4 linked regions of the Lonchura striata genome follow. The protein of the gene in region 3 interacts with the protein of the main gene of each other region in a pairwise test. Links are inferred from orthologs where the notes say so. Each region holds a gene or a part of one and is shown on either strand. Other genes may lie near its edges.

The links.
Region 1: the proteins of RGS19 (region 3) and GNAZ interact in a two-hybrid assay, tested with the Homo sapiens proteins (2 studies listed by BioGRID). The link is inferred for Lonchura striata from reciprocal best matches to the Homo sapiens genes RGS19 and GNAZ.
Region 2: the proteins of RGS19 (region 3) and GNAO1 interact in a two-hybrid assay, tested with the Homo sapiens proteins (2 studies listed by BioGRID). The link is inferred for Lonchura striata from reciprocal best matches to the Homo sapiens genes RGS19 and GNAO1.
Region 4: the proteins of RGS19 (region 3) and GNAI2 interact in a two-hybrid assay, tested with the Homo sapiens proteins (2 studies listed by BioGRID and IntAct). The link is inferred for Lonchura striata from reciprocal best matches to the Homo sapiens genes RGS19 and GNAI2.

What each region holds. Positions count from the first base shown.
Region 1 is NC_134620.1:4,247,691-4,254,743, reverse strand, and holds the start of GNAZ (guanine nucleotide-binding protein G(z) subunit alpha), read left to right. Parts: upstream 1-4,053; 5' UTR 4,054-4,451; intron 4,452-7,053. UniProt on the Homo sapiens protein: Guanine nucleotide-binding proteins (G proteins) are involved as modulators or transducers in various transmembrane signaling systems.
Region 2 is NC_134615.1:15,386,358-15,393,490, forward strand, and holds the start of GNAO1 (guanine nucleotide-binding protein G(o) subunit alpha), read left to right. Parts: upstream 1-4,127; 5' UTR 4,128-4,250; coding exon 4,251-4,368; intron 4,369-4,447; coding exon 4,448-4,490; intron 4,491-7,133. UniProt on the Homo sapiens protein: Guanine nucleotide-binding proteins (G proteins) function as transducers downstream of G protein-coupled receptors (GPCRs) in numerous signaling cascades.
Region 3 is NC_134619.1:6,745,319-6,752,984, reverse strand, and holds the start of RGS19 (regulator of G-protein signaling 19), read right to left. Parts: upstream 3,028-7,666; 5' UTR 2,974-3,027; intron 1-2,973. UniProt on the Homo sapiens protein: Inhibits signal transduction by increasing the GTPase activity of G protein alpha subunits thereby driving them into their inactive GDP-bound form. Binds to G-alpha subfamily 1 members, with the order G(i)a3 > G(i)a1 > G(o)a >> G(z)a/G(i)a2.
Region 4 is NC_134614.1:10,279,556-10,286,900, reverse strand, and holds the start of GNAI2 (guanine nucleotide-binding protein G(i) subunit alpha-2), read left to right. Parts: upstream 1-4,343; 5' UTR 4,344-4,395; coding exon 4,396-4,513; intron 4,514-7,345. Other genes in the region: SLC38A3 (sodium-coupled neutral amino acid transporter 3), read left to right, coding at 222-366, 828-931, 1,038-1,142. UniProt on the Homo sapiens protein: Guanine nucleotide-binding proteins (G proteins) are involved as modulators or transducers in various transmembrane signaling systems.

The sequences.
Region 1 (7,053 bases), on a different chromosome or scaffold from region 3:
ATTATAACATTTTTTTCTAAGTATCTATTAAATTATATATAATCCTTCTGAGGGCCCAATTTGGTACTTTGTCATCTGGTAAGAACATAATTGGCAAAACTAAATATATATGAAATCAATACATTTCTTTTTGTTCTTTGTTATTACAAAAAAATTTTAAATCCCCACTAAATGCCTACTGATGTCCTCAAATGGGAGAGATCTACTTTCAAGCCACTTTTCAGTGAATATATTTTATCATTCATATGAAGTGGAAAACCTCCAACCAGGAAGATTGCAGGAGGGAAGAGGATACCCTAAGAACAACCAACAACATGTTGCTCAGACCACTTTAACAGAAGATCTGAAGCTGGTACAATTTGTTTTAAAAAATTCCTGGCACTCTTTAATTGCATCTCCTGGGACTAATTCCCAAAGATCTCTGTATTTTGATCTCAAGTGATTTTTTTCTCTTCAACCTTCATGGATCCTTTGTTGTATACTTTAGTAAGTGATCCCCAATTTGGGTGAGTGTTTGAGGTGTTTTTTTTTGTTTGTTTGTTTGTTTTCCATTCCTTTGCCCTTAATAGTGACAAATGAACAAAGAATATTTTAACTTACTTTTTAATTTTTTTTTTTTTTAATAACAGAATAATGCAGCCTTGAAGGACAGGCTCTTTAAAAAGAACTATGTTCCTTTATCTTATTTCACAGTATCACTGTAGCTTTCTTCCCATGGAGGCTCTGAAGGAATAGGAGTGCATGGATCCATCCCAAAGCTTAGGATAAGCAAGGCCTGCTGTGGAAAGTTTCCTGCACAGGAAAGCCAAGGTACCTCCAGGGCTCTGGGAGAGCAGCTCTCCTCCAGCTGCTGGATTTAATGTTTGTTTTTCTCAACTTGGCTTCAGGAGCAACTGCTGATGCAGCAGCTGAAACAATGAGCTGCAAACACAGTAGGGATATAATAGAACTGTGAAGGGAGGGATGTAAAGTGCTCAGCATTTGTAGGGTTTGGTTGTTGTTTTCTTTTTAAAGAAGTTCTTTTTTAGTTGATTGTGATATTAGATGTAATGCATTGTCTGGGTTCACATTCTCAAATATCTCTCATGATTTGCTCTCATAGGAGGAGTAAACTGCTGATATTAAGCAAAACCCTCAGTTACCTGAAGGGTGAGAGAAGATAAAAGGGTGAAATCCTGGTAGAAAGTGAATTTTCATCCTAAATGATGAAGCCAAATGAGGTCAGGCTGATACCACCTGATAGAATGTGCATTCATGATTTTTTCCCCACCATCTCAGAGTCACTGATACAAAGCAACAATATATCAGATAGATATAAATACCAGATCCCAATCATCTGTTCATGATGCTATTTTAAACTCTTCCACGTGAGAAAAATGGTTAAAAATAAAAATACAGCTCTTTTATTTTCCGTTAAATGTTCTGTTCAGTTCTTCATGCTGAGAGAATCACAGACCTGTCTATAAATATCTAACCCAGATCTACAATTGCTTGTTAAAAAGAGAGTGTTTGGTAGAAGATTGAATGAAATACACTATATCTTTTATTATATTTTTATTACAGACCAGATGTGGCCTCTGTCATTTGGAGATGTATATTCACCAAGAACATTGCATGTGTGCATATAAATATTTTCATGTTGTAATGGTATAATAAAGGGAAATTGGTTAGAAAAATCCCTATGGGATTTTCCACTTAAGAGCACATTTTTGTTTTAGCACTATTGTCTTCAAAATAAACATGTATGAATGTATCTATTTTGATTGATCCAGCAGAAAGCAGCTGTAAACAGGCAAGGCTTTGGCTTTTGGTTCATGAATAGCCCTGGCAAGTTGAGTGAAACTTGTGCAGCCAACGAGCCCAGGAGGTTGTGTCTTGGATGCTGCACCTTGAAATGCTGCTCCCTTCAAACTCAAGCCTGCTCTGGTGGGGAAAAATGGTCACCACACTGACATAGAAGAGGAAATGGAAATCCAGTCAGATTGCACAGGTCCCTAAAATTACTCTTTATATTTCCACACAAACTATTCACTCTCTACAGTTATTTCTGTGTATTCAGTCTACCTGTTTACAGAGCACAACATTCAGAGTCCTGGGCTAAGGACCTGGATTTCTGTGCTGTTTGACTTTTGGCATTTAATCACCTGTCCAGGCTATTTGGAGACTTATTTCTCTTTACATTCCTGTGGGAGCTTAGCTACATGTAATGCAATCAATACATGCTGAAAGGCCCTAATTGAGGATTTCTGGATGCAGGACAAGGTAAGACTGAAGAAAACTTAGACATATCTGCTGAGGTATTTTTCGGTCATGTTGGTTTTTAACTCTGCCATTAATCAGCAGCAAGCTCCCATATGGTAGTGTTGAAATAACTGCTCCTAAACTTCTCAGACTTGTCTCATTACTCAGGTACTGCATGTTTGTAATTCCTTCACTGCCAGCATTTGATCTATACTCTGGTGCCTCCCTCAAAGCTGGAGGAAAGCAGGTGTTCTGTTCTAGCAGTGGAAAATGCCTAAAGCTGCTCTCTCTGTAGACAGCATGCGAATGATGATCGTCCTAGCCAGGATGATGGTGGTTGGTGCTTTATTTCTGCCACAGTTGGTTAGTGTGTGGAAGATGCCTTTTCTCACATATCAAGTACTATGCTAAAGATACATGTAATGTGACAGTTTCTATAGTAACTACTTTATGGAATTGCAGATTAAACCTGTACACCTTGTTATTGTTCTTTTATCCTATTATCTAGACTACTCAGTTACCACAGATACTTTTTTTTTATTCTATTCCCTTGCCAACATAACTATACCAGGGATTTATTCATTTGCAACTAAAGAGTATATATTAAAAACAAAACACTTAGAAGTTTTAAATTGACCACTATCTGATCTTATAAACGGAGATGTTTGTGCATGTATATTGAAAGCTAAAATTCCAAAACAAGACTGTAGAAATATTTTTATTAAAGCAGGTCAAAATTATGATTTGAATATTATTGTTTTGCTGAGAGAACAAAGCAAGTTATGTATTTCACATTTATTTTCTAACAAATTTTACTTGAACAAATTTGCCTAGATGTACTAGCAAACTTTTAATATGAATGACATCTAAGATTCATTATTATAGGAAAATTTTCTCAATATGGTATACTGATTTAAACATGAAATTATTTCATTCTTATAATTTGTCAATTCTGCTGATAATATCAGTACTGGAAGTGATATCATTTACAGGAATCAGATGCTTTCTGCTTTGTATTATGTTAGCCTTATTGTGGGAAAAAATGCCTGCATCCCGTCTGCATGTGACAGTGTCTGTTGCTATCTCCGGCAGAAGTGTATCAGTTACAAATCAAGCTTATAAAATTAGCAGTGTAGGGAGAAATCAGCTACTTGATCAGGGCTGCAGATTCAACAATGCAACTAGTACTGTAGCCAAAAGGAAAAAGACACTAGGAAAAATGTAAAATATGAATCGGGTAAATCCAATAATGAGATAAAAAGAAAACGATACTCATCGTTAATTAAAGAAAAAAAAAAGCTGTAGTAAATTACACATACACAAATGCAAAAGGCAAAAGGGGAAAATCAGAAAAAAAATATCCGCCCAGTACTGAGAGCAACTGAGTGATGGTAGAAGTGGAAAGCAAACAGCCGATAAATCCCGTGTAACTAAAGAAACTGTTTTTTCTCCCTTTACCCTTGACCGTATCCTTCCAACACGTATGTGACTGGTTGTGGAATCAAGCCTAAAACTCGTGCCGCTGCCAGAGCCGGGCACTGCTGTGCTGCAGCGAACATGGACCCGCGGAGCGGCCCCGGGTGCGGATGCAGTTGTGCAGAGGCAGAGCCCGTGGCACGTCTGTGCCCGCACATTATGTAACGCGCGAGTGCAGCGGAGCGTACGAGCCGGGGAAGAGGCACAAACCCCTCGCCAACACCCAGCTCCTTCTGCGCCGCGGCGGGGCGGGGGCTGCGGGGGCTGCGGGCCCGGCCGCCCCCCGGGCGGCAGCCGGAGCCGGAGCGGAGCCGCCCGCCGGCCGCGCCGCCGCCCCGCCCGCGGTACCCCCGCCGTTGGCGTGGAAACGGGCTGGCGGCTCCGGCTCCTCCTCCAGCGCCAGCCCCGCGCTCCCCCTGCCCGGCTCCCCGGCGAGAGCGCGGAGCACCTCCCTGTCTCCCGCGGGGGGTCGCCGGACAAGTGCTCCGCGGCCGCCCTTAGACCAGCCCGGGTTTTTTTACGGTTGTGTTTTCTAGGGAGAAGATGGGAAAGGGCAGGTTCGTGCTCCTGCTGGGGCTGCGGGGCTAGTCCCTGCAGTCGTGGTGTGTGTCTGCTCGGCAAATCACAGATGCTGATGTGAAAAAGGGCCAAAGCAGAAGAGAGGCGTCAGTGGATGAGAGCTGTTTGTACTGATGGATTGAGGAGGTGGAGGCTGCCCGCCTGGTGCTGGAGAGGTGAGTGCAATATTCCGCATTTCCTTCTCTCCTAAATCAGTTCAGTGATCAACATTTCCAAAAATAAAAAGGAACTAATATAGCAAGAAGAAAAAAAAAATGTTATTTTGAAACAATAAGCTATGCTTCTGCTGGATAAAAAACACGAGTGTCACAGTGAGGTAGGGACATTTCGCTGTGTGTAGACAAAAAATAGTAAGGGGAGGCAGGCTGCTGATACAGTGAAAATGACCTTCTCAAGGGATACTGGCCTTCTATTAGCTACTGCTTCAGCTTGGGCCCTTCTTCTAAAAATTAAGTGATCTCCCATTCCTAGCCTGAATCGTAACCCATTAATAGCCAATACCTGAGCCTTAATAAGATCCGTTGTGTTCCCTTAATGATTCAGAAAGATAATCCATTCGATTCTGCCTGTTGGGAGAAGAACCTCCACGCTATGTAGCACCTCCTCCCAGGGAAATGCAGCCTGGATAGCATTCTATCAGAAAAGACTCCTGCTGCCAAATTTCCGTAATAAGTCCTCCTGGTAGCAGTCTCATCTGCTCATTGGAAGGATGTGTGGCTCTGCAGAGCCTGGGTGCATTCCCTCTCCGTGTGTGCCCAGGCATGTGAAGGAATGAGGAGGGTTTCTATTAATCTGCACCTGTGGACGGCTCCCATCTGCACTTGTGAACCACAAGTTTTTTGGTATCTTTGCATTTGCATTTTGGGTGAGCACTTAATACACAAAACCTCCAAGCCTTCAATGTTAGCTGAGAGAGCTGCAGACAAATAGATGTCAGTTTAATTTCTGCTCACAGAACTGATCTGATCTGCTTTTGGCTGTTTCACTGTAGAAGACGTTTAATGTGTGTTCTTGCAGTATTTGTTCTGCAAGATACTGACCTATCTCAACATCTTCCTGGGAAGATTTGAGAAAAAAATCCCTCCATCATGTCTTTATAGTTGTTTATATCCATTTTCTGATAGCCTCACACCCACAAATTGATTTTTATTTGGGCTCAGTATTTCGCGCCATTGTGGGTCACACCCTTCGGGTGGCCATCAACATTTCATCCATAAAGGTTACAACAGCAGGTCAGGTGTTGTGAATGCCTACTTGTGGATCACAAAAGGGCAAAAAATGAGTGTGTACTTTGGACTTAAGGGAAATTTTGTCTGACTTTGTGGATATAGACATTGGAAGTACGAGCTGATGCCTTAGGAGCTGCTATAGGCAGAAATCCTCACTTTTCTTCAACAGGCACAGATTTGACAGCTGAACAGACACAGCTCTGCAGAATAGAGAGTGTTTTGCCATTAACCTGGCTGTCTCCATCAAATCATTTGTTTGGAAGCTATCATGCAAAAAGCTCAGATCCCTGCCCTTGGATTAAGGACATTATAGGAGGAGAGGCCTATATATATAGAAGGATGAAGATGTAGTCTTAAAGAAGCCAGCGACAGGTGTAATCAAAATAAAACCTCTTAGTTATAAGGCATATTTAGGAGAAAAACTCATGCTATCTTTTGTTACCAAAGCACTGATTGCATTTTCAGAGAAGAAACCCCTCCTGTGTACATATGTATGCTTATAAGGAAGAAAAGCTGATTAATTCTGTGCAAGGCATGGAATTTCACTCTGACAATGAACCTTACAGAGAGGAATAAACTCCGCATGCTACGTAAAGAATGCTACACCTCTGGCTGAGATTATATGCTTGTCACTTCATAGGCCACTGGTGATAAGAGTTGAATAAGTCTTCTGAAGATGCTACCTTGAATTTTGTAAGCCTCCAGAACAGTTTAATGTTTCAGTTGCAGACCTTGGTTTTGAATTTAGTGTCGGTGATCTAAAAATAACCAGCCAGGTAGCTCTGAAGGACTGAGGTGAAAGTGTTCTGGTTGTCTCAGTTCTGACTATGCACTGATGGAACAAGGTGTGTTAAATTTTAAGAAGTGTACCTAGAAACAGAAATTTGTCCCTTCTTAAGGAATCTACCTGCTAAGTGGTAGGGAAGGGGATAAGGATAACAGAAAAATCAGTAGGTAATAGAAGCTCAAATCCTTAAATGGTGAAGTCAGCTTTTCCTCTGTAGCTTAAGCAGATAAGGATTTTGACAGCAGCCTTGGTTGATACACAGAGGTGAGGCAATATAGGGAATGATGCTTTATTCTCTCTCCTCCTCCATAAATTAAAGATAAATACTTCAAATTCCTTTGGGTTAAATCACAGTAATCCCACTTATTTCAGATGAGATTCTTCAGATTTATGTAACTGAAAATGAGAGTTGAATCTGACTATTTCTGCTAAAGTTTTGTTCCTGCTTTCACAGGAGTCACTGGAAGTTTTGTCATTTATTTCAGCTGGAGAGAGCCCAGGACACACAGTTTCACTGATCAGGCTCCCCCTTGCCTTTAGGAACAGCAATGTTGAACAGTTTCTTAGCTGGTTTATGTGAGGTCACAGGCTCAATGACAAATTCAGTAACTCTCTACTTGCATCACAAACTAATTCATAAATTATCAGTTACTTGAATCATGCTTTTTTGCTGAGAAAATGGGAGTGTTATGAGTGTTATTCCCATGTTAAGGTTGACAGTACCCACCCTCAGCAGTAATA
Region 2 (7,133 bases), on a different chromosome or scaffold from region 3:
GCCCATGGAACAGTTTTCTCACCCCTCTTTACTACCTCCTGGCAAGCTGTGGGAACAAACATTTCAGTAAGATCTGTTGTGATAAGAAAATAAGTCATGTTTTACACTAGAAGAGGGTAGATTTAAATTAGATATAAGGAAGAAATGTTTGATTTTGAGGGGGGTGAAACACTGCAGGTTCCCAGAGAGGTGATGAATGCTCCATTCCTGGAAACATTCAATGCAGGACTGGGGAGGGCTCTGAGAAACATGGCCCAGTTGGATCTTTCCCTGTTCACTGCAGAGGGGTTGGACTAGATGCCTTTGAAAGGTCCCTTCCACCCCAAACTGTTCTGTGATTCCAGGAAGAAAGGCAGAGCACTCTACAAACCCTTGAGCTGGGTAGCAGAGCCCACGATGGTGATGTGTTCTGGAAGGCTCATCCCTCCCCAGTCTGGAAGCAGCCAGGATAAAACAACACACATGAGATCATAAAGTTGTCATCTACCCCACATTACCACTTTGGCACAGTCTTTTTCAATGGCATCCATCAGTTCTGTTACCATCCTTCACTTCTTAAAGAAATGACTATCTGATTAACTTTCCTAGCACAATGTTTGAAAACTGGTTGCAGAAAGAAGCTGGGTTTGGTGAGGCACAGATCAGATACAAGAGAATAAAGACTTTTGCTTAAAATACACTGCTGACTCTTAAGTTTGGGAGAGAGCAGTCTGAGCAGAAACAAGCGAGTTCTTTATGTATCTTGATGAAATACTTTAATTGCAGGGATAGCCAGAAAGAAAGTGCCTCCTCTCCACCTTTAATGGAGAGGTTCTCTCATTTTCAAAGGGGGAAAAAAAGAAGCCTATTTTCATTTGAAGTTGTTACTACCAGCAACCACTTTTTATTAAAAGAGGAGTCCTGTCAGCTCCTGAAAAATGGAAACATCTTTTTCAGCAACAAAACCCAATATATTTATCTCAAAAGCCAAGTAGGCTGGAATGCATTTTGTTTGGTGGAGGAGGCAACCTTTTTTCTTTCATGTTCTTGAAATTCATCTGCCATGAATAAGCAGATTTTTTAAAAAAATTAAATTTCCCTCTAAGAAAATTTTGAAAGAAACATTTCCACCAGCTCTGCTCAGTTAGCAGCAGGAAAAAAAGTGGCTTAGAAATGGCTCAATTTCACAGCTGCTCCCCTGAATTTTTCTGAGAGCTGAGAGAGCAAGGAGAAGACTTGCCAATTTCTGATTTTCCCTTAAGAAAGAAATTAGCAGATTATTGTGTAGCAATGGGGATGATCATGGGACAAAGGGATGACTGCAGACTCCACACTGGTCAAGAAGAAGAGAAATAATTTTCTCCATGGCAGGAGACCCAGGCTACAAATTTGTCAGATAACGAGTAGCCGGAGGCTGATATAAAAGACTAATTCTCTTAGTAAAACCCTTGGAGAGTTTCCCAATATGAGACCAAGGCTGGCAAGCTGCTGGAGGAAATGGGAAGAAAATGCAGCTATCTCATGAGGACGCTGCCTCTGGATTTCTTCGTTGTGTTTTTTCTATACAGGACTTTTTGTAATTCCCTCTAGCTAGAACCATTGAAATGAAACTTATTGATTGAAATTCTGATCCCATTGATTTTACACATGAGATTTGTGCGAATATGAAAGAGCAGGAACTGCTCTGTAACCACACCCATCTCCATTTATTCCCTGCTGAAGACATGCTGTAGGTTTGCTTGTCCATCTCAGTTCCCTGAGCTTCCAGAAATAAATTACCCAAAATTCAAATATATTGTACCTATTAGCTCACAAATGTATAGTAGAATACACTAAATTACCTTTTGCTTTCTTTTATCTGCTTTTCTTTCATACCCCCTCTTTACCTCGTTACCCACATCCTGTTTTTCCCTTTTGTTTCAGAGGTCAGGAGGGAAAATGGGAAGAGCATGTTCTGTGAGGAAGAAGAAATGGGAAACAGCACTGGGAGGAGATGATGGTTGCCTGGAAGGAAAGTGCCTGTGACTTCATGCTTAGAATACTCTAAGTGCTATTAGAAATTACATTTCTACCCCTAAGGAAATAGTCCTGGATATGGGATCTGGTGAACTCAGGACAGCAGGTGAGATGCTCACAGAGGAGGCAGCGATCAGGTCCCAAGTGGAAAACGCACACAGTGTAAGGACATGGTCACCCACACCCAACAGCACAAACAGCAGCCCCCTGCCTTCCCCGAGGCCTGTGGGGCAGCCCTGCATTTCCTTCCCACAGCACAGCGATGTTCCTGTCAAGCCTCCTGTAGCTGGGTGCTTTTTGGCAGAGAGGTGGAGTGGCTTTTGGGGGCAAAATCAGCAGCCTCAGCATTCACATCTACTGAACAACCACACCTCCCTTTGCAGATTTCTTGTGTACTGAAATGGTGGGTGTCCTTTCCATGGATCAGGTAGCAAACCTTGATTATCTTAATTTTAGTTTGATGCATTTTACCTTGCTGTGCTCAACACTTCTTTCCTCTCTATATCTTTTTATAGCTAGATTGTCACATATCAATCAATGTTATGGATTAAAGTTGAGTATATTTTAACTTGTCTGGGCCTGTAGGAAAGCATTTTAAACAAAGTTCTATTTATTTTATTTTCCTTGTCGACAGTTGTTTTCTTCTCTCTTTTCCATCCTTGTGAAATGGCAAAACCTGCCAGGAAAATGGTGGGACTTTAATTCACTAGAATTCTTAAATCACTGTTAGATGTCATGGAATAGATATGAAAAGAAGGCAGGTCATCTGCTGAGGTCTGTGACCACACTGCAACACAAAAAACCCAAACCTTCCGTTAATTACACTGATGGAAAACATAATCCAACATGGTGGTGAAACCTGATGCTTTGCATGGAGCATGTAAACGATTCACATTGCAAGTGTTCACATTGCCTGAGCCGTGAGGAGCTCCCAAAGGGCTCCTTGCAGGTCAGGTCACAAACACAGCACTGTGGGGTGGGGGCAGGCACAGGGTGTGGGTGCAGGAGCTGTGGGGGATGCTCAGGGCACGTGGGGAGCCAGGGTTCCCACAGTGGCCGGGGCAGTGCCCAGGGGAGCCCAGTGCCCCCGTACACACACCGCTGTCACATCCCCAAGCACTCAGCTCTGCGCTGCCGGGCCAGACCACAGAACTGTGGGATGGCCTGAGACACAAGAGACCTGCAAGGATCACCGAGTCCAACTCCTAGCCCTACCTGAACAGGGGCTGATGATGTCCTAGAGCAGGACATTCCCAAGAGTTCCACCTGAGAGCCTTGAGGCTTCTTGAAATCCGTCAGGCTTAGTGCTGTGATCACTGCCCTGGGGAGTTCCAGTGCTCAAGCTCGCTCTGGGTAAGAACCTTTCCCTAATATCCAACCTAATTCCCCCCCCGGCATGACTCCAGCCGCTCCCTCGGCTCCTGTCACAGCAAGAAGAGATCGGTGCTGCCCCTGCACGGCCCCTCCCGAGGAAGCTGCAGCCCACGATGAGCTCTGCCCTCAATCTCCTCTCCAAGTGCCCTCGGCCGCTCCTCGTATGGCTTCCCCTTTAGACCCTCCACCTAGGCAGACCCCAGCTCGGAGTCACCGGGCCGGGGGGCAGCAGCCCAAGCCGCGGAGCGTCCCTCCCGGGGAAAGGCGCGGGAGCCCGGGGCGAGGGGCCGGGCACCGGGGCCGCGCCCCCGCCCGTGCAGAGCGGGCGGCCGCTGCCCGCGGGCCCGGGCGGGGCGGGCCCGAGCATGCGCGAGCCGCGCGCGTCACGGGCGAGGCCGGCGGGAGCGCGCAGCCCGGCGCGCCCCCGCGCTCCCTCCTGCCGCCCGCCCGCCGCCGCTCCCGCGCCTCCATTCGGCTCCGCCGCCGCCCGCCGAGGAGGGGACAGCGACAGTCGGGAGCACGGGAGAGGGACGCGCCCTCCCCCGCCGCCAACCCGCTTCCTCCTCCTTCTCCTCCACCTCCTCCCCCGCCTCCGCCTCCGCCTCCCGGCCGGGAAGAGCTCGCCGTGCCCGCTGCAGCCCCGCTGGATGCACTGAGCGCTCGGGCGCGGGGAGAGAGGGGCAAGAGGGAGCCGGGAGCCCCGCCGCGGAGGCGCTGCGCTACCCGGAGCCTCACGGCCATTTGCTTTAATTCTTTTATTGCCCCCCGGCCGCCGCCTCCTCTCTGTCCGCGGGAGCCAGCCGAGGCGGCGGGGGCTGCATCCCCCCTCCCCCCCCTTTTTTTTTTTTAATTTTTTTTTTTTTTTAATTTTCATCGCCGCCATGGGATGTACCCTGAGTGCTGAGGAAAGAGCCGCCCTGGAGCGGAGCAAGGCCATCGAGAAGAACCTGAAGGAGGACGGGATCAGCGCGGCCAAAGACGTGAAACTACTCCTGCTCGGTGAGAACCCGCCGGTCCCCCCATCGCCCCCCTCCTCCTCTTTCCCCGCGCTTATCCCACCTCATCTCTCTTCCAACAGGAGCCGGAGAGTCGGGGAAAAGCACCATCGTGAAGCAAATGAAGTAAGTCCCGCGGGGGGAGCGAGCGAGCGGCGGTGCGGGGCGGGAGAGCGGGGCGGGGGCTCGCGGAGGTGAGCGAGGGCCGCGGGCGCCATGTTTACCTGAGGGGACCGCGCAGGCAGCGCGGCGGGGCCGCCGCCGCGCCCGGCGCTGTCCAGGGCCCGCTGGTGCTGAAGCGGCGCCCCGCGGCCTCGCCCCCGGCGGCGGTGCGGGGAGGCCGGCAGCCCACCTTCCCCCTCGGCGCAGATGTCCCCGTGCAGCCAACCGCTGTCACTTCTGCTTAATGTCGGGGTGTTATCTGCCGGCTCTGCGGATTGAAACCAAGGCTCTCTGTCGCTGAAAGCCCCTTTTATCGAGCTTGTACCTTCTTCTTTTAATTAATGAACGACGAGCTTGGCCACTCATTCAAATCTCTTCTGCTCTGGGATCCGAGTCTCCCTGTGGTACTCGGCGCTGCTCCTCGCTGGGGCTTCCCACACCCTTTTTCTGTGTTTAATTAGATATAACCGTGTAATAAACAACAGTGAAAAGCCCCACCGCACGGTCCCTTACAAGCATCCCCGTGGCTCGTGTAAATGCACCCCGTAGGAAAGCAGGTGCGGAGAAGGCTGATGGAGGTGGAGGTACACTCGTGGTGCGACTATTCTCCCCCCATCCATTTTTTTTTTTTTTCAAAAATTAAAATACAATTAAATATCCCGTCCTCCCACCGCTACAAACATGACGGGCTGGTTGGAGGCGGGCGCCATCACGGAACGAGCCTGGGCGCTGGTTCAGGGTCTGGATTTCAGCTGGGAGCGGTTGCCGCTTTGCGATGCTGGTGGTTGCGGAGAGATCTGTGGCTGGGAGGGCCCCCCCTCCCGGGACCGGGATTGCTTAGCGAGGGGAAGAGGCTGAGAGATGGGTGTGGATGGGGCGCGGGGAGCGGGGTGCGGGTCCCGGCGCGGGGCTCCGGGGCCGCGCGGGCCGACGGGCGGGTCCCGGCGCGGCGTTCAGCGGCTGGAGCTGGACAGCGCCCGCGGGGCCCCTCGGCACCGCGCTCCGCTGCCTCCGGAGGGGCCGCGGAGAAGCCAAAGGGGCCCCCGAACCAGCAAAGCGGCCCGTGCCCCTCGCAAGCTGCAGCCCTGAGCTCCCGTAGCCGCCCCGCCTGTGCGTGTGTGTGTGAGCGTGTGTGTGAATGCGTGTGTGTGAGTGTGTGCCTGTGTGTGAGAGAGTGAGAGTGTGCGCGTGTGTGTGTGAATGTGGGTGTGCATGTGCGCGTGCATGTGCGTGCACCACTGGGGCAGATCTGGGCCTTCAGCCCAGCTCCTCTCCAGGCAGGGTGGCTTAGCGGGTGACCTGGATATTTCTGTATCAACTCCGTGGCCGCTGTGCCCACCCCTCGGGGGTTCAATGAAACCATCATCCCCGCCTGAGGCAATGCTTTTCCCAAGGCGCTGCGGGGCTGGGAGGTCTCACTGTGAGGAGATTTGCCTCCAGTGCACAGTGGTATCCGTGGCTTTCCCCACTGACGTTTGTGTACCCTACTTCTGTAGAGGCTCTCATTGTCTCCTTTTACTGTTTGAAAGAGGGCTTTTCCCCCATAGTTCGATTTGGATCTGGGGTGGGGTAGGTTTGATTTGCTCTTGTTTGTGTGCAGAACGTGGATGAGGAGACATGTCGCTGCAGATGAACACCAATAAATAATTTAATCTCTAGGAATTGCTTCTGCAGAAGCATGCTGGAATGGCAGGTGATGGGTTTTGGTTAAAGGGAGAGGCTGTGGGAACTACAACAGCACAATGCACATGTAGAGCCCATAGGCAGGAGGGCAGGCAGTGACCACACTGGCTACACAAAAAGCCTACAATCTTGTTTTCCAAAGAGCAGAGCTCTTGTTTTTTGAAGCAAATCATATCAAGATAATAACCTGTTTGTTGGACTAGATTGGTATATTGAGGACTGAATTATACCCGTTTTGTGGATGTATATATATATATATGTATATATATGTATATATATACATGCATTTCATTACAACTACTCAAAGTAAGGCATGCTAGGCTTGCAGCTTTGTACCTAATATGAAAACGTCAAGGAAGCTGCTATGGTGGATGGGCTTCTAGTGTGGGAAATGGGGAGGCATCTGTGAGTGTGGAAACTCCAGTGAAGTGTGTGGAGGCTGGGGTGGGGACAGCGGTGTTGCTATGAGCACGGCAGCAGCATCTGGAGAGAACCGCGCAGCCGCGGGCGCCAGGGAGAGCGATGTGCGGGGAACAACGAGGGGAAACCAACATTGCTAAAAATTAATTCAAATATAATGTAGGCATTAGCATTTCACCTGGTCAAGCTCCATTAGACAGCCTTGCTGAGAACCTAATGAATTCTTAATAAAGATTAAATCGCATGTTCATTAGATTTTGATGAAAGAGTGCTATTTTTTTTTTAATACTGTATTATTGGTGTGCTTCTAGATAATAAATCTCATCCTCATGAATGGCTGAAGCAGCTTTACACTTGGATATTGCCTTGAAAACAAGCACAGGAATCTATAGACAGATTGGGGAATGTTAAGACAAAGGAACAGAGAGCAGACATTGTTACATAGGAATAGAAGAGGTTACACACTGCCCAGTTAATCCTTGAAATGTTAGATAGCAGGAGCAG
Region 3 (7,666 bases):
GGCGAAGGCTGTGGGCACCAGATCACTCAGAACCTGCTGTTATTCCAGGCAAGAGCCCACACTGCTGAACCCTGAGTGTGGCATGGCAGTGGGGGTGCCTCCTGGCCTTGCTGTGCCCTGCCTGTTTTTTTTGGGGTGCTCAGGCATGGCCAGAGGTTGGTGCACAAACTGATCCGACAAGCAGGAGGAGCTGGGAGGGAAAGACAGAGCGGCTCTTACCTCCTCCTGAGTTTTCCAAAATTCTTTTATCCAAAGGATAAAAATTTGGGGGAAAAAAAGAAGAGGAAAAGCCCCAGGAGCTCGAGCTCATGCTCTGCAGAGCTTGAGGAGTGACACAGTGGCTGCTTTGCCACTCCTGACCTGTTGCTCACAGGGAAGAGCTCTGAGCACTGAGCTCACCCACTCACTTTGCATCAGCCCAGCTGAAAGCCAGGTCCAGCCTAAAAGCAAAGACTAGAAATGAAGCTCAGCCAAGAGGGGAGAGGATGCACTTCAGGAGATGGCCGAGATGGGCTGCTCCAGCACCTTGGGCAGACTCAGAACCAGCTACCCTGCCATGGTATTTTTCTCCCTTACCCCTTCTGGATTTCATTTCATTATTTATCTGCCTTCAGTTCTTTCTTTTTTTAAACAATAATACCAAAACTGCACCCTGACTGAGATACATTCGTGTCACTAAACTCCTGCTTCTCCACTACAATCCTGTGAGGTGGAGGTTGTTTAATTGCTGAAGAACATGACTGTATTTTGATCAGTGGCTTGAGTCATTTGTGGGGAAGGGCTGACGCGGAGCAGCTAAAATCCTTGTAGGGAAGTCTGATGTGGCTCTCTCCCTTGGGAGATACTCTGAAATATGTGCCCACTGGGGTGACCCGTTTTCCCAAAGAAAACTACGTGCACCAGGCCAGCAAATGCCACAGCTCCGCTCATCCAGCATGACATGGGATGAGCATCTCCACTGACAGGGATGGAGATGCATCCAGAGGGGAATGAACTCCCCTCGCAGCAGGGGAATCCCTCCCACTCGCTTAACACGTTTTGTTTAGTTTCTTAAATAAGGCCATGGATCCGTGCCAGAGCAGCCTCATGGAAGCAATGGGGAGAGGGAGCTTCCCGGGGAACCTCTCGGTGCCCGCACACGGCAGGGTGACCCACACACAGTGTGGTGGCCTGCACACGGTAGGGTGACCCATGCACAGCGCAGTGACCTGCACATGGCAGGGTGACCCAGGCACGGCAGGGTGACCCACACATGGAGTGGTGATCTGCACACAGCGCAGTGACCTGCACCACGGCAGGGTGACCCACGCACGACAGGGTGACCCGCACATGGCAGGGTGACCCATGCATGGCAGGGTGACCCATGCACGGCAGGGTGACCCACGCGTGGCAGGGTGATCCAGGCACGGCAGGGTGACCCACGCGTGGCAGGGTGATCCAGGCACGGCAGGGTGACCCACGCACGTTAGGGTGATCTGCACACAGCGCAGTGACCTGCACCACGGCAGGGTGACCCACGCACGGCAGGGTGACCCACACATGGCAGGGTGACCCACACACGGCAGGGTGATCCAGGCACGGCAGGGTGACCCACACGTGGCAGGGTGATCCAGGCACGGCAGGGTGACCCAGGCACGGCAGGGTGACCCACGCACGGCAGGGTGACCCATGCACAGCAGGGTGACCCGCACACGGCAGGGTGACCCACACACGGCAGGGTGACCTGCACACGGCAGGGTGACCCATGCACAGCAGGGTGACCCACGCACGGCCGGGTGACCCATGCACAGCAGGGTGACCCATGCACAGCAGGGTGACCTGCACACGGCAGGGTGACCCACACACGGCAGGGTGTCCCACGCATGGCAGGGTGACCCATGCACAGCAGGGTGACCCGCACACGGCAGGGTGACCCGCACACGGCAGGGTGACCCGCACACGGCAGGGTGACCTGCACATGGCAGGGTGACCCGCACATGGCAGGGTGACCCGCACACGGCAGGGTGACCCGCACATGGCGCGGTGGCCGTGCTGGCCCTCTCCATCCCTTGACCACGGAGCCGCGGTGCCAAGTGGCGGCACCCCGCGACGCCGCCCACGCGATGGGCTCGTGTTGGGCGACCGTCGCATGTCACATCCCTTCGGGGGACAGCCGCGTCCTCGACACCACCGAGGCACGTCCCTCAGCCACCCCTCGGCTGTGCCGCTGCTGGAGAACCCCGCGGGGACCGCAGCTGGAGGCTGCCCTGACCTCAGGCAACCTTCCCGAGCCCCGGCGGGCCGGGTCAGGGCCGCCCATCGCCCTGGCGAGGCTCAGCACCCTTCGCACGGTGCCCGGGGAGCTGCTCGGGCAGGGAGCTCCGCCCGGCCGAGCGCTGCGTGGATGCTCCGGCGCCGCCCTGGCACCCACCTGTGGGTGCAGAAGAGCCGGGGAGGCCTCCGGGAGGGGGATCCTCCCTGCAACCCCCGCCCCGGGCTGGGCAAACCCCGGTACAGCCGGCCCTGCGGCTGGAGGGTGCCCCCCTCCTTCCCCCTCTCCATCCTCCTCCTCCTCCTCCTCCTGCTGGCAGGAGCCCTGCCCTCCCCCGGGGGGATGCGGCGGGGAGTTCCCCCTCCCTGCTCGGTGCTCGGGGTCCCCACGGAGCATCCCCCCGCCCCAGCGCTCGCACACGGGGCCGCTGACCGGCAGCAGCCGGACACACGGACGCACGGACAGGCAGACGGGCACGGGCAGGGCTCTCCATCCTCCGCGGGGCTCGGCGCGCGTGGGGAGAGCCGCGCAGGAGGGAGGATGCCCGGGGCAGGGCTCCATGCAGGGGGAGCGCGCAGAGGGGCTGGGGGAGGAAGAGAGGGTGGGCAAAGCGGGGTCCGCCGGGGGAGCGAGGCTGGGCTGGGCACCGGGCGAGGGAGGGGGCGATGGGGGCGCGTCCCCCCCATCCGCGGCAGCCCCTGGCCGGGGCGCGGGGTACTCACGGGCCGGGCATCCGCGCCGCCGCCGCCGCCCCCGGCCGCCGCCGCTGCGCTGCCGCCGGGCTGGGCACCGGAGGGAGAGGGAGCGGCAGCGGGAGCCGAGCGGCGGCGGCGGCACTGCGCAGGCTCCGGCCCGGCCCCGCCGGCCACTTCCGAAAGCGATTGCAGCCCTGGCACTTCCTCACGGCACACACACGCACGCTCGCACACGGACACCCACCCGCGCCACCCACGGACCCGGCCCCCTGCCCACTGTGCCAGCGCCGGGCACCCACTGCTGTGCCCAGCATCACAGAACCAGCGCTGGTACCCAGTACCAGCACCCTGCACCCAGTACTCCACCCTGCACCGGCGCCCAGAGTCAGATATTGGCACACCGTGCTCCTACTATTGATACCCAGCACCATGCACCGAGTGCTGGTACAGTGCCGCTATTGGCACCCAGCACCAGCATCACGTACCCAGCACTGGCTCCCAGTACCAGCACCCAATAGCACACCCAGCACCAGCATCACGCACCCAGCACTGGGTCCCAGTACCAGCACCCAATAGCACACCCAGCACCAGCATCACGCACCCAGCACTGGGTCCCAGTACCAGCACCCAGCACCCAGTGCCACACCCAGCACCAGCATCACATACCCAGCACTGGCTCCCAGTACCAGCACCCAGTACCACACCCAGCACCAGCATCACGTACCCAGCACTGGGTCCCAGTACCAGCACCCAGCACCCAGTGCCACACCCAGCACCAGCATCACATACCCAGCACTGGGTCCCGGTACCAGCACTTACACCCAGCACCAGCATTGTGAACCCAATACTGGCACCAACACTGGGGTGTTCTCCCATCCCCAGAGGATGGGGAATGGCTGTCTGTGAAACTTCCCCCAGACTGCTTCCTACCTAAGCCTCCCTCCCCAGGAGTGGCTTTCCCTCTGTCAGTGGTTTCTCTGCTTTTTTTTTTTTTTTCTCAAAAGCGGGGATTATACATCACTAAAAATAAAGGGTGATAAAACTTTGGGAGAGAAAAGAGGCATAAAAATTTCATGATCTTGCCAGCCAGGGAAATTATCCCACTTCATTATTTAAAACCTCATTAAAAACCATTTCCCTGGGAGAGACAATGATCAAACCGCCATCTATTTCAATCCTCGAGACGTGCACTCAGCGACGTGGGGGACGTGTTTAAAATAGGCCCCAAATGTGACTCCTGCAGTGAAAACTCCACCCCGACCCCCACCCATGCGAGCAGCATCTCTGAGCTGAATCCCTCTGCCTCTGCACTGGGGGATCAGACAGACCCAATGTGCCTCCCACATTTTCAACCTGCCATGTCCAGCACTCTGGATTTTCCTCTTTTCACCCATTCAGGTCACGACAGTGGGATCTACACAGCTCTCACCCAGGGGGGACTTCTGCAGACAAAGCAGGGTCCCTCCTCTGACTGCAACTTGTGCAAATCTTCAGAGCAGCTCCAGTGTGCAGTTGTGACTGCCAGGCTGCTCCCTCCTGCTGTGTGACCGGGCCACCAGCCCTCACGATTTTCTTTAGCAATTCATTTAACTGGAAGCTCACATAAATGCCCATAAAGGCTCCCACGTCCTCAGGAACTGCTTTGTAGTGTGTGTTTGGGATTTTTAGAAATTCCCACAAACATTTGCCCCATCCCTGGAAGTGTTCAAGGCCAGGTTGGATGGGGCTTGGAGCAGCCTGGTCTACCGGAAGGTGTCCCTGCCCATGGCAGGAGGCTGGAATGAGATGAGCTTAAAGTCTTTTCCAATCCATGCCATCCCAGGATTCTATGATTTGGGCTTGTGATTCCTTGTGATTCTTCATCCCATCTGTCCCTTCAGATGATGATGAGAAACCCCCTTTTCTTTTTAACAAAAATGTGGATTGTGAGGAAACGCCTGGAGCTTCCGAACCCCCTGTGCAATGGGGCTATCAGTGAACAGCCAGACTCGCACCACTGGTTGCTCAGGGTGCTCGGCCTCGCACCTTTCCCAGCCATCGGAAATGCTGCCAGCGATAGCCAGGAACACTGCTGCGTGTCTGAAAGCTGCTTTCCCCCGTGCCAGCCTGGAGAGCTCCCGGGGAACGACTGGCAGCATCCTGCCTCACCCGGAGGCACCGGCGGAGAGAGCGGCAGCCTCGCTCGAGCCGTGTCGGTGCTGAACGGTGACAGCCGGGGCGGAGGCGCCGCCCGGAGCTCCCGGGGCCGTTCCCGGTGCCGCTCCGCAGCGGAGCCGTCCCGGCGGTGCCGGCCCCGCTGCAGTGGCGGGACCTGCCCGCAGGTGCCGCCCGACTCCGCCGGGAGCGCGGCCGGCGGCGGCTCGGGGGCTCCGGCGGGTCCCGGGCTCCGGGCATCCCCGGCGGCTCGGGGGCTCCGGCGGGTCCCGGGCTCCGGGCATCCCCGGCGGCTCGGGGGCTCCGGTGGGTCCCGGGCTCCGGGCATCCCCGGCGGCTCGGGGGCTCCGGCGGGTCCCGGGCTCCGGGCATCCCCGGCGGCTCGGGGGTCCCGGGGGCTCCGGCGGGTCCCGGCGCTCCGGGCATCCCCATGGCTCGGTGGGGCCGGGGGTCCCGGCCGCTCGGGGGGGCGCTGGCGGCTCCCTGCCCCCGCCGATCGCCGCGAGAAGGAGCTTGTGCAGAGCTGGGGGCGGACACGCTGCGGTGTCCCAGGAGCCCGGGAGCTGCTGCCGGTTCCTCGGGTACCCGATGGACACCTCGGAAGGAAGTCCGGATAGCAAGAGATGGGCATCCCATCGGTGTTGCCCCTAATTTTTTGTTGGTGTTGTTAAGTAGGGTCAGCAGGACCAGGACAGACACTGCCCTCCCTGTGCTGGGAACTGCTGAGGTCACACCTCAAAACCGGTGTTTGGTTGACAAGGTGACATTGAGGGGCTGGAGTGTGTCCACAGAAGGCAATGGAGCTGGTGAAGGGCTTGGAACACAAGAAGATCTCGAGGGAGCTGAGGGCCCTGAGTCTGGAGAGAAGGAGACTCAGGAAGGACCTTCTCACTCTCTGCATCTACCTGAAAGGAGATTGTAGCTAGATGGGGGTTGATTTCTTCTCCCAGGCAACAAAAAACAGGACAAGAGGAAATAGCCTCAAGTTGCACCATGGGAGGTTTAGGTGGGATATAAGGGAAAATTTCTTCCAGAAAAGGTTGTCCAGCATTGGAGAAGCTGCCCAGGGCTGTGGTGGAGTCACCATCCCTGAAGGGATTTAAAAGCCTTGTGGATGTGGCACTTGGTGACATGGTTTAGTGGTGGGTTTGGCAGACGTGGGGTAATGGTTGGACTCAATGATCTTAGAGGGCTTTTCCAACCCAAACAATTCTGTTTCATTCTGATTCTGTGATTCTAAGAAGGTGCTGGGTGAGCAGAGGTGAGCTTTGCCATAGGCTGCAGGGAGCTGTGAGTACAGCACACCAGCACCTGCAGAGCTGGTTTTCCTCTCCAAGGAGGACTCCAGTAACTCCAGGCAGGATGCTCAGGAGCAGGAGGCCTCTTTTGATGAATATCTGAGACGAGCCAGCCTGTGTCAGGACTGAGATACAGCAAGGTTCCCAATGGGTCTGCAAAGCACAGTTTGCTGGAGAAATCCTGTCAACGGTTGCTCAATGCCATCTCCAAAGTGCTCTGCAGTGTCAGCCTGGCTGCAGCAGCAGAATGGGCTGATCCCTTCCAGGGTGTTTCCAGCCTGTGTGCTTCTTGAGAGGCTGGCAGGTGATGAAGCTGGATGGATGAAGGCTTCAGAGATGTTTTGCTTTAGGAAAGCCTTTCCCCCCACCAGCTATCTGGGCTTTTTAAAGCTTTCCAAGCAGCAGAGTGTATTCAGACTGGAGTGACCAGAAGAGATGCTCCTGGCACTGGGTTCTGAGGAAGCAACAGTCCTTGAGCTTCTACAGCCCAAGTGAGAGGCAGAGGAGAAGCAGCTCTGAGCACAGCCTGCAGGAAGTGTTTGTCAGAGCTGAGATTGGAAAGATCACGTTCACCCTGTCCCTGAACACGCAGCTCCTCTGCCGAGGGCAGCTGGGGACACGCTGAGGTGATGCTCTGGTGTGTGCACAGAGCTGGCACGTGAGGGTGCAGGAAGCAGAGCTGCTCTGGGGACCAGCCCTGCTCCAGGGCAAAAATCCACCCTGTGAATCTCAGTGGTGGAGCTGTCTTGGCAGAATACCTGCTTTGAGGTGTGCAGTCTCATCACAGCTAATTTTTTCCCTTGTGAGAAGTACCTGTGCACCCTTTACAGCCTTTTTACTCTTTTTTAAGGCCTCAAAGCTTCCTGTGGAATGTCAGAGACACGTTTCCAATCCCAGTCTCTGCCTCAGCTATCAGGTGTGCTACAAACCTGCATATCTCTGTGGCTCCCCAGGGCTGCTCACAGGCTGACTCAAGAGTCATTCTGTTGGGGTCATGTTTTTGCCACAGGGACCTGAAGTGCAAAGATTGCCTCTCCTGTACTCAATCTTGAAGATAAAGCAGCAACTTGAAGTTCTGGAGTGTGTCTGGAGGTCGTGGAGCAAAGTTTAAGAGAGGATTTTGCACTACCAGGCTCAGAATTTGGTCTTTAAATTCTATCCCATTTAGAGGGAAAAGGGTCGATTATTTTGATTTCCTAATGTAACAGAGCTTATGCAATCACATTGTATATCAGCCCACTCATGTTCTTCTAAATTATTCTCTTCAA
Region 4 (7,345 bases), on a different chromosome or scaffold from region 3:
TGATGGGGCAGAGTCAGGGCCACAGGGACAAGGCTGTGAAGGGGTGACAGGAACCAGTGGGGCATCAGAATCAGAGCTTGGGAAGGGAAAGGAGTTATGATGACCTGCAGGGCCATAGGGATAGGGCTAGAGTAGGGGTGATGGGGACCAGCAGGGCTGCAGTGACAGGGTATGGGTCCTGGCTCCAAGGATGGAGCGTGATACCCTGTCCCTGTCCCCAGGTGCGTCGGGCCATCCAGCAGATGCTGTTCCAAGGGAAAGACTTCAGCTGGATCCGCCACATCACCATTGCTGTGATCCTGCTGACTTTCATCAACCTCCTTGTCATCTTTGCCCCCTCCATTCTCGGCATCTTCGGCTTGATTGGTGGGTGGCAGCGCCCTGCTCCTGTCCCTCCCTGATTGCGGGGTGTTGCAGCAGCGTGCCAGCCCCTGTCCTGACTGGTGCTCAGCTTTGTCCCACCCTTCCGTGCCTCAGTTTTTCGTTCTCACCATGCCAGGACCAGGTGGTTGCTGGATCGCCCATCCTATCGCTGTCCTGGCAGGCTGGTTCCCACAGCACAGTGTGGCATTGCTCTTCCCCTGCGTGCTTCCCTTGATCCCCCCAGCCAGGCTCCCCCCGCTCAGCACTCAGCTCGGTGCCAGGGCTGCGGGAGGGGTGTGGGACAGTGCCAGCACACTGCGTCCCTGGGTTCCTGGAAGGCTTTGCCAGGACTGGGGGGGGCAAGGAGGGGGTGGGGGTGGACAGGACCTGTCCGGGCAGTGGGGCTGGCAGGGCTGAGCTGCAGGGTGGCAGGTCCCTGCCCACTCTGTCCCTGTCTTCTTCAGGTGCCACCTCTGCTCCCTGCCTCATCTTCATCTTCCCTGCCATCTTTTACATCCGTATCATGCCCAAGGATAAGGAGCCACTGCGCTCCACCCCGAAAATATTGGTAAGCATGGGCAGGGGTACAAGGATGGGGGCAAGCATGGGTTCTGAAGCTGGCTGGGAACCCTGTTGCCCTGGCCATTCCCTGAGTCCCTTCTTTGTCTCCACAGGCTGCCTGCTTTGCCCTCCTTGGGGTGGTCTTCATGATCATGAGCTTGAGCTTCATCATCATCGACTGGACCACGGGTGGGGGGAAGAGCGGCGGCAGCCACTAGCCACTACCGGGTGCCCAAGCCAACCTCCCCCCCACCCACCCGGTGCCCCAGGGAGAGCCGACCCTGGGCTCAGCCCCCATGCTGCAGCCCCACCAGGATTCCCTGGGGACTTCTGCTGTTGCTGCCCGTCACCTGTGGTGATGGTGAGAGGGCATGAGCCATGGCAGGCATAAAGACTCCTCAACCTGTGTCCGGGATGGGGCAGTGAGCCCGGGGCAGGTCCTGTGCCCCCCAGCCACTCCAGCGGGCACCCTCCCTGCTCTGCGCCTCAGTTTCCTCATCTGTAAAATGGGGAGAATAATACTGCCCTACCTCACCCGGAGCTGGCTGTCAGGTGGAGCTCTTCTGCACCCCAAGAGCCACCAGCAGCAGGCACTGCCAGAGGCGCAGGGCACTGCCTGCCGTGGGGACCGAGGACCAGGCACTTCCCTGGCCTCCCCCAGACAGCATCAAGAGCCTGATGAACAGTGTCCATGGGGGCTGGAATCCAGCGGGGTGGTCAGACCTGTGACAGCACCTGTGCCCAAGCCACCCACCCTCTCCCCTGCCATCCCCCTATCCCCAAAGAGAAACCACCCACTGCCCTGGCATCATGGGGTACCCTGGTTCCTGTGGACCAGCGTGGTCCTCGTGCTGCAGCTGATGGTACCCAACCTGCTGCTCCTGAGCCTGCCAGGGGAACTGTTGGCTCCTGCTGCTGCGGATGGGAGCCTGCCGACCCCTAGGCCATGGATGGGGGGACCAGCTGCATTGCTCCAGGGAGGTGGCATGCACGCCATGGACTTTGCATCTGGCATCCTGCCCCTGCTGCAGCTCGGCTGCTGGGGGCCTGGTGCACCCAAGGGGCATATGAGGGGGGCTTGTGGGGGGCTGGGGGCAGCACTCACTGGGGGCAAGCTCAGGGCTCTGGAGGCACCCCTCATCTGCATGCCCAGATGCCAGGGTGATGGGCACCCCAGGGTGATGGGCACCCCAGCAACCCAAGCTGTCCCTGCTTGCCTTGCACCCTGGGCCAGCACTTGGACCCCTACAGCCCTCACCATCCACCCACCCATCCATGCCGCTGAGATGCCCCAAACCATGCCAAAACCCGGAGAGCGGCTCTCCCACCCCCCACCTCCCCTCCCAGTATGGAGGGCAGTCCAGCAGGGTGGGCAGCACAGGGTTGGGGGGGGTCTGTCCTGCGGCAAAGTACATAAGAGACGTATTTTTTTATGTGGTGGTGGAGGCTGCGATGCTTTTTATAAATACTGTACATAAGAGCAGATCTTTTTTAACGTGTTGTGTTGCTCTGGGTAGCTCCGTATAATGTACACATCATATCGGGGGGCACCGCCGTGGACTCTCACCATCGCCCCGGGTCTGCTGCTGTTCCTGTCACCAGCCTGGCTGCCCCAGGGCCACCTCTGTCATTTGTAAATTATTGGTGGGAGTGATGCTGGCGGTGGCAGGAGGCCAGAGGTGAGAATAAAGATGTGAATGTGCCCAGGTCTCAGGCATCACTGGGGCGGGTGAGGTGTTGGCACGCAGGCTGGTGCCTCACACACGGCATCCTGAGGTGGCACGGACAGATAGACATGGGCCACAGGGGTGCACAGACATGCACGAGGACAGCAGGGATATATGGACATGGATGTGCAGACGGATGAACAGCAGCACAAACAGCACAGACATACATCAGGACAGCACAGACACGCAGACATGGATGTTCAGGGGCCTCCATGGGAGCAGGGCCCCTGTGGAAGTTAGACCCCAGGGAAACTGGACCCCGAGGGAGTGGGATCCCTGGGGAGCAGGACTCCTGTGAGAGCAGGATCCCCAGGACAATGGGACACGTGTGGGAGCACGGCCCTGGGGAGTGGGACTCCTGAGGAGTGGGATACATGGGAGCAGGAACCCCAGCAAGTGCCATGGCAGTAGTATCCCTGGAGTGGGGCTGCTCTGGAAGCAGGGCTCCAGGGAAGCGGCGCTGGGGCATGTCGTGCCTGGTGCCAGGGCAGTGGGTGCCCCCAGTGCCCTCAGGGCCAGCCCCCAGCCCTCGCCCATGGCACAGTGCGGAGTGGGGGTGAGCCCCCCCGGCCTGGCCCCTCGCTCTCCTCCGCCAGCCCCAGGTCTGGGCTCAGTGCCAGCTCGTTAGCAAAGCCTTGTTAGCACGGCAGCCCGCTCCCACGGGAACAGCCCTGCTCCCCACGCCAGGCCCACGGGCACAGGCCTGCAGACCCCACGGGGGATGCTCTATCCCTTCCCCTGGCATTCTGAGTTGAAAGCATCCCTGGCTGCCCTCATCCTGCTCAGCTGGAGCCGGTGGGGGTGTGTGGAGGGGCTGCAGGGCCCGGGCAGGTATGAAGTGCTGCTGTGGGGCTAGCATGGAGCGAGGGTGGCTACCTGGGCACGGGCCAGTCCGCTGGGTCAGCGGGCACACCTGGCCCGCCTCCTCAGGAAGTGTGGGGGGTTCTAGTTCCTAAGGGGGCAGCCTTGGGAGTTGGGGCATGGGGTAAGTGCCTGAGGGACCCCCTGTTCTGGGAGAAACCTGGAGATGCCCCATCCTGCCCCATTCCCTGTCACAGGCACCCCGCTCCTGGCACCTGCCAAGGAGCTCCCTCCTCCTGCGGCAGGGGACACGGGATCCTGAGGAGTGAGAGATGCCAAGCTCTAAGCCACCACTCTGTGACACCGTGTCTCCCCAAAAGGTAGCCCTGAAACACAGCATCACCCAAACCGCTGTTCCGAGGGCTGCACCCGCTGCTCTGCACCCAAAGGACCCCGAAACGCAACACCTGGACTCCATCTCCCTCCCCATCTGTGTCCCGGGACACACCACGTCGCACCCACAGGTCCATCCCGGGACACACCGGGTCCATCCCGGGACATATCGTGTCTCACACCCACAGGTCCATCCCGGGACACACCGGGTCCATCCCGGGACACACCGTGTCCCACCCACAGCTCTATCCCGGGACACACCGTGTCCACCCCGGGACACACGGTGCTCCCCTCCCTTCCCTCACAGCCCGCCCCTCCCGCCGTTTCCCGCCGCTGCCGCCTGAGGGCCCGCGCGCCCACCGCGAGCGGCCTCGCCCCGCGCGCCCCGCCCCCAGCCCCGCCCCGCCCATTGGCCGCGCCCCGCTGGCCCCGCCCATTGGCCCCGCCCATTGGCCCCGCCCCGCGCGCCCGGGGGCGGGGCCTGTCGGGGCGGGCCGGGCCGGCAGAGCCGCGGGCGCGCGCAGCAGCCGCCGCCGCCGCCGCCGCCGCCATGGGCTGCACCGTGAGCGCCGAGGACAAGGCGGCCGCCGAGCGCTCCCGCATGATCGACAAGAACCTGCGGGAGGACGGCGAGAAGGCGGCGCGGGAGGTGAAACTGCTGCTGCTGGGTAAGAGCCCCCCGGGCCCCACCCCCGGGCCCCCCATCTTGGCTTCTCCGCCCGGCTCGGCCCGGCCCTGCCGGAACCGGGCGGCCTCACCACCTCCGCCCCCCGCTGCCCCGGGGCCATCCTGGGTACCAGCGCCAGGAGTGCCCCGCCCCGCCCCGGAGATCCCCCGTGAGTGGGATGCTGGCCCCAGCCCAGGCTTGGGGTTCTCCCCACAGCGAGCTGCCGGCTCCATCGCGGGCCGCGGGGATGTCCCGCCCCAGCCTTCCCGGTTCCCCCCGGAATGGAGCAGCAGGCCTTGGGCTTTCCCCCTGGCGTCGGGTGTTGATTCCATCCCAGGTCCCAGCGATCTCTCCCAGGACTGGGGTGTTGATCCTGTCCAGGGATCCCCCAGGAGTCGGGTGTTGATCCTATCCCAGCTCCCAGGCATCCTCCCCAGGACTGGGGTGTTGATCCCGCCTCAGGCATCGCCCCCCTCAGGAGTGAGATGTTGATCCAATCTGAGATCCTAGGGATTCCCCCCAGGAAGGGGTTATTGATCTTATCCCGGTTCCCACAGATACCTCCCCCCCCCCACACACACACACCGCCAGGAATGGGATGTTGACCTCATCCCAGCTCCCAGTGTCTCTCCCCGCAGGACTGGGATGTTAACCCAATCCGGTTCCCACCAGGACTGGGGTGTTGACCCCAGCCCAGCTCCCAGGGTTTCCCCACAGGAACGGAGCCCTGTACCCACAGCAGACCCTGGGTCCTCTCTGCAGTGGGGTTCTTCCCCCACCCCTCTGTGAGCAGGATGCCAGCCCCGTTCCAGGCTTTGGGGATCCCCTGGCAGTAGGGTGCCAGCCCTACAGAAAACCTTGGCTGCCCCTCAGAGAGGGTGCCACCCCACCCTGGGTTGTGGGGATCTGCCCCAGAAAGAGCTGTCACTCTGCTATGGTACTGTCCCCCCGGTCAGTGTCCAGTCTGGACACCTTTGGGACAAAGGTGGGGACATCCCCACTCTCCTGTTGGATGTCCCCCCCCAGCAAAGGTCCTGCAAGCTCGGGCACCCTGTCCCACCTGCCCAGGATCCCTGGTCTCCTCCATGGGCTCCTCTTACCCTGGCCTCTGGCTGTGATGGAGGTAATGTGATGGAGGTAACGGGGCTGGCAGGCACCCTTTGCCCCATTGCCACTGGAGCACTGGGACAGCCCCGAGCCTCTCCATCACCCTGCCCTCTCCGTGGGGGTTTGAGGGGCTTGGGCCATTGCCGTGGGCAGGGCCCCCCACATCCCACGGGCTCTCTGTCTCAGGGACACTCGATTTTGGTTCTGATAACGGGCTTTTGCTCTTCAAAGCACCCTGGTGATGCTCCCAAGGGCGTTCACAGCCCTGCCCTGTGCCTGCGGGCAAGGCAGCACTTCGTTATTTTAATTCATTATTTGTCTTAATGACTCCCAGTTGGGCTTTTTATTCCCTTTGCGAAATTCCCAGAGAGGGCCTCCCTCCAGGTGTGAGGTGGGAGCGCTTGCTCCCATGGCACCGTGGGGCAGCGGGACAGAGGGAACCCTGACAGAAAATGTCTTTGGACTCATCTGCTGTCTGCAGAGGAAGCTGCCAGCAGCAGGAAGTCATGCTGAAATCCGGCAGGCCTTTATTTGCTCAACCCCTGCCTGCCTTGAGAAATACGTAATTTACGCCTTAAAATGCTCCTTTATCAGAGTGCGTCTCTTTTTTGTTTTATTTTATTTTGATTCTTTTTGCCTTGGCACGAGCAGTGCTGGCAGCAAAACCCATCCTGGAGATATTTGGAAGGGATCTGTGCTGTATGGGGGGGCTCGATGGTTGGGCACACTCGCTGCCCCATTTTTTTTTCTGTGGAAGGGAGAGTGGAGCCCCGTGGGATATGTGGGGTAGTGGAGAAGCATGTGGTAGCTCTTTGTCATGAGCTGCTCCCGTGCTGGCCTCGCTGCCTCCTCTGGTGGGAAGTCATGGGGAGGTATCTGGCCAAAGAGGTTTGGCACCTCCAGCCTCGGGAGGCTCCTGGGAGTGTCCAGGACCATCCAGGCAGTATCACCTGGTGCTGGGAGGGCCCATCCTGTTGGTGCTGAGCATCCCCGAGGAGCAGCTGCGGGCTCGCTGGGTGACAAGGATTATGGTGTAGGCTGACTAGCTGACATCCCTTTCTTGGATCTTGCTCTGTCCCAAAGTGGAGGCAGGAGGGGGAAGAGGATGTCCGCACTCCCTTCTGCTGGGGCCGGTGTTTACGAGTGGCATTTCTGATCTCAGCTGCTTTCTAAAGCCAAAAATAGAGCAAAATGGCTCTTTCTGTACATTAAAAAAAAAGGTTTTTCCTTCCCCGTGCAGCTGGTCAGGTGTCAATAGCACTAGAGCCTTGGGTCAGTGCTGCCCATTTCCGAGCTGAGCCTTGGCTGGAAAATCCTCCCAAGCCGGGAGGTGGGGCCAGCACTGCCCCCCTGGGGGCTGCTGCTTGTGACATGTCCCCTCTGTGAGGTGGGACCGTGCTGGTGGGATCCTCCCACCTCCCTGCTGCTCACCCTTGTATGGCTTAGGTTTTTTTCTCCTGGTCAGGGGAAGGTTTGAGGAGACGTGAGGCCTCACATGTTTTTTTGGTGAGCACCACAGCTCCTCATCACTCTCAGCAAGCTCCAGGGTCCTCTGTGGGGGCTGCAGCCCTCCTGCCTCCTCTGGAAAAAATTGAGAGAAAAACAGCTTCACCCTTTGTGCTGCATCAACCTATAGCATGAGGAGGAAATGTCTCTTCCAAGCGTGGCATTTTTTTTTGGTGTTGGCTCATGGTGTCCCACTGCTGAACTTTGGAGCTGGGGCACC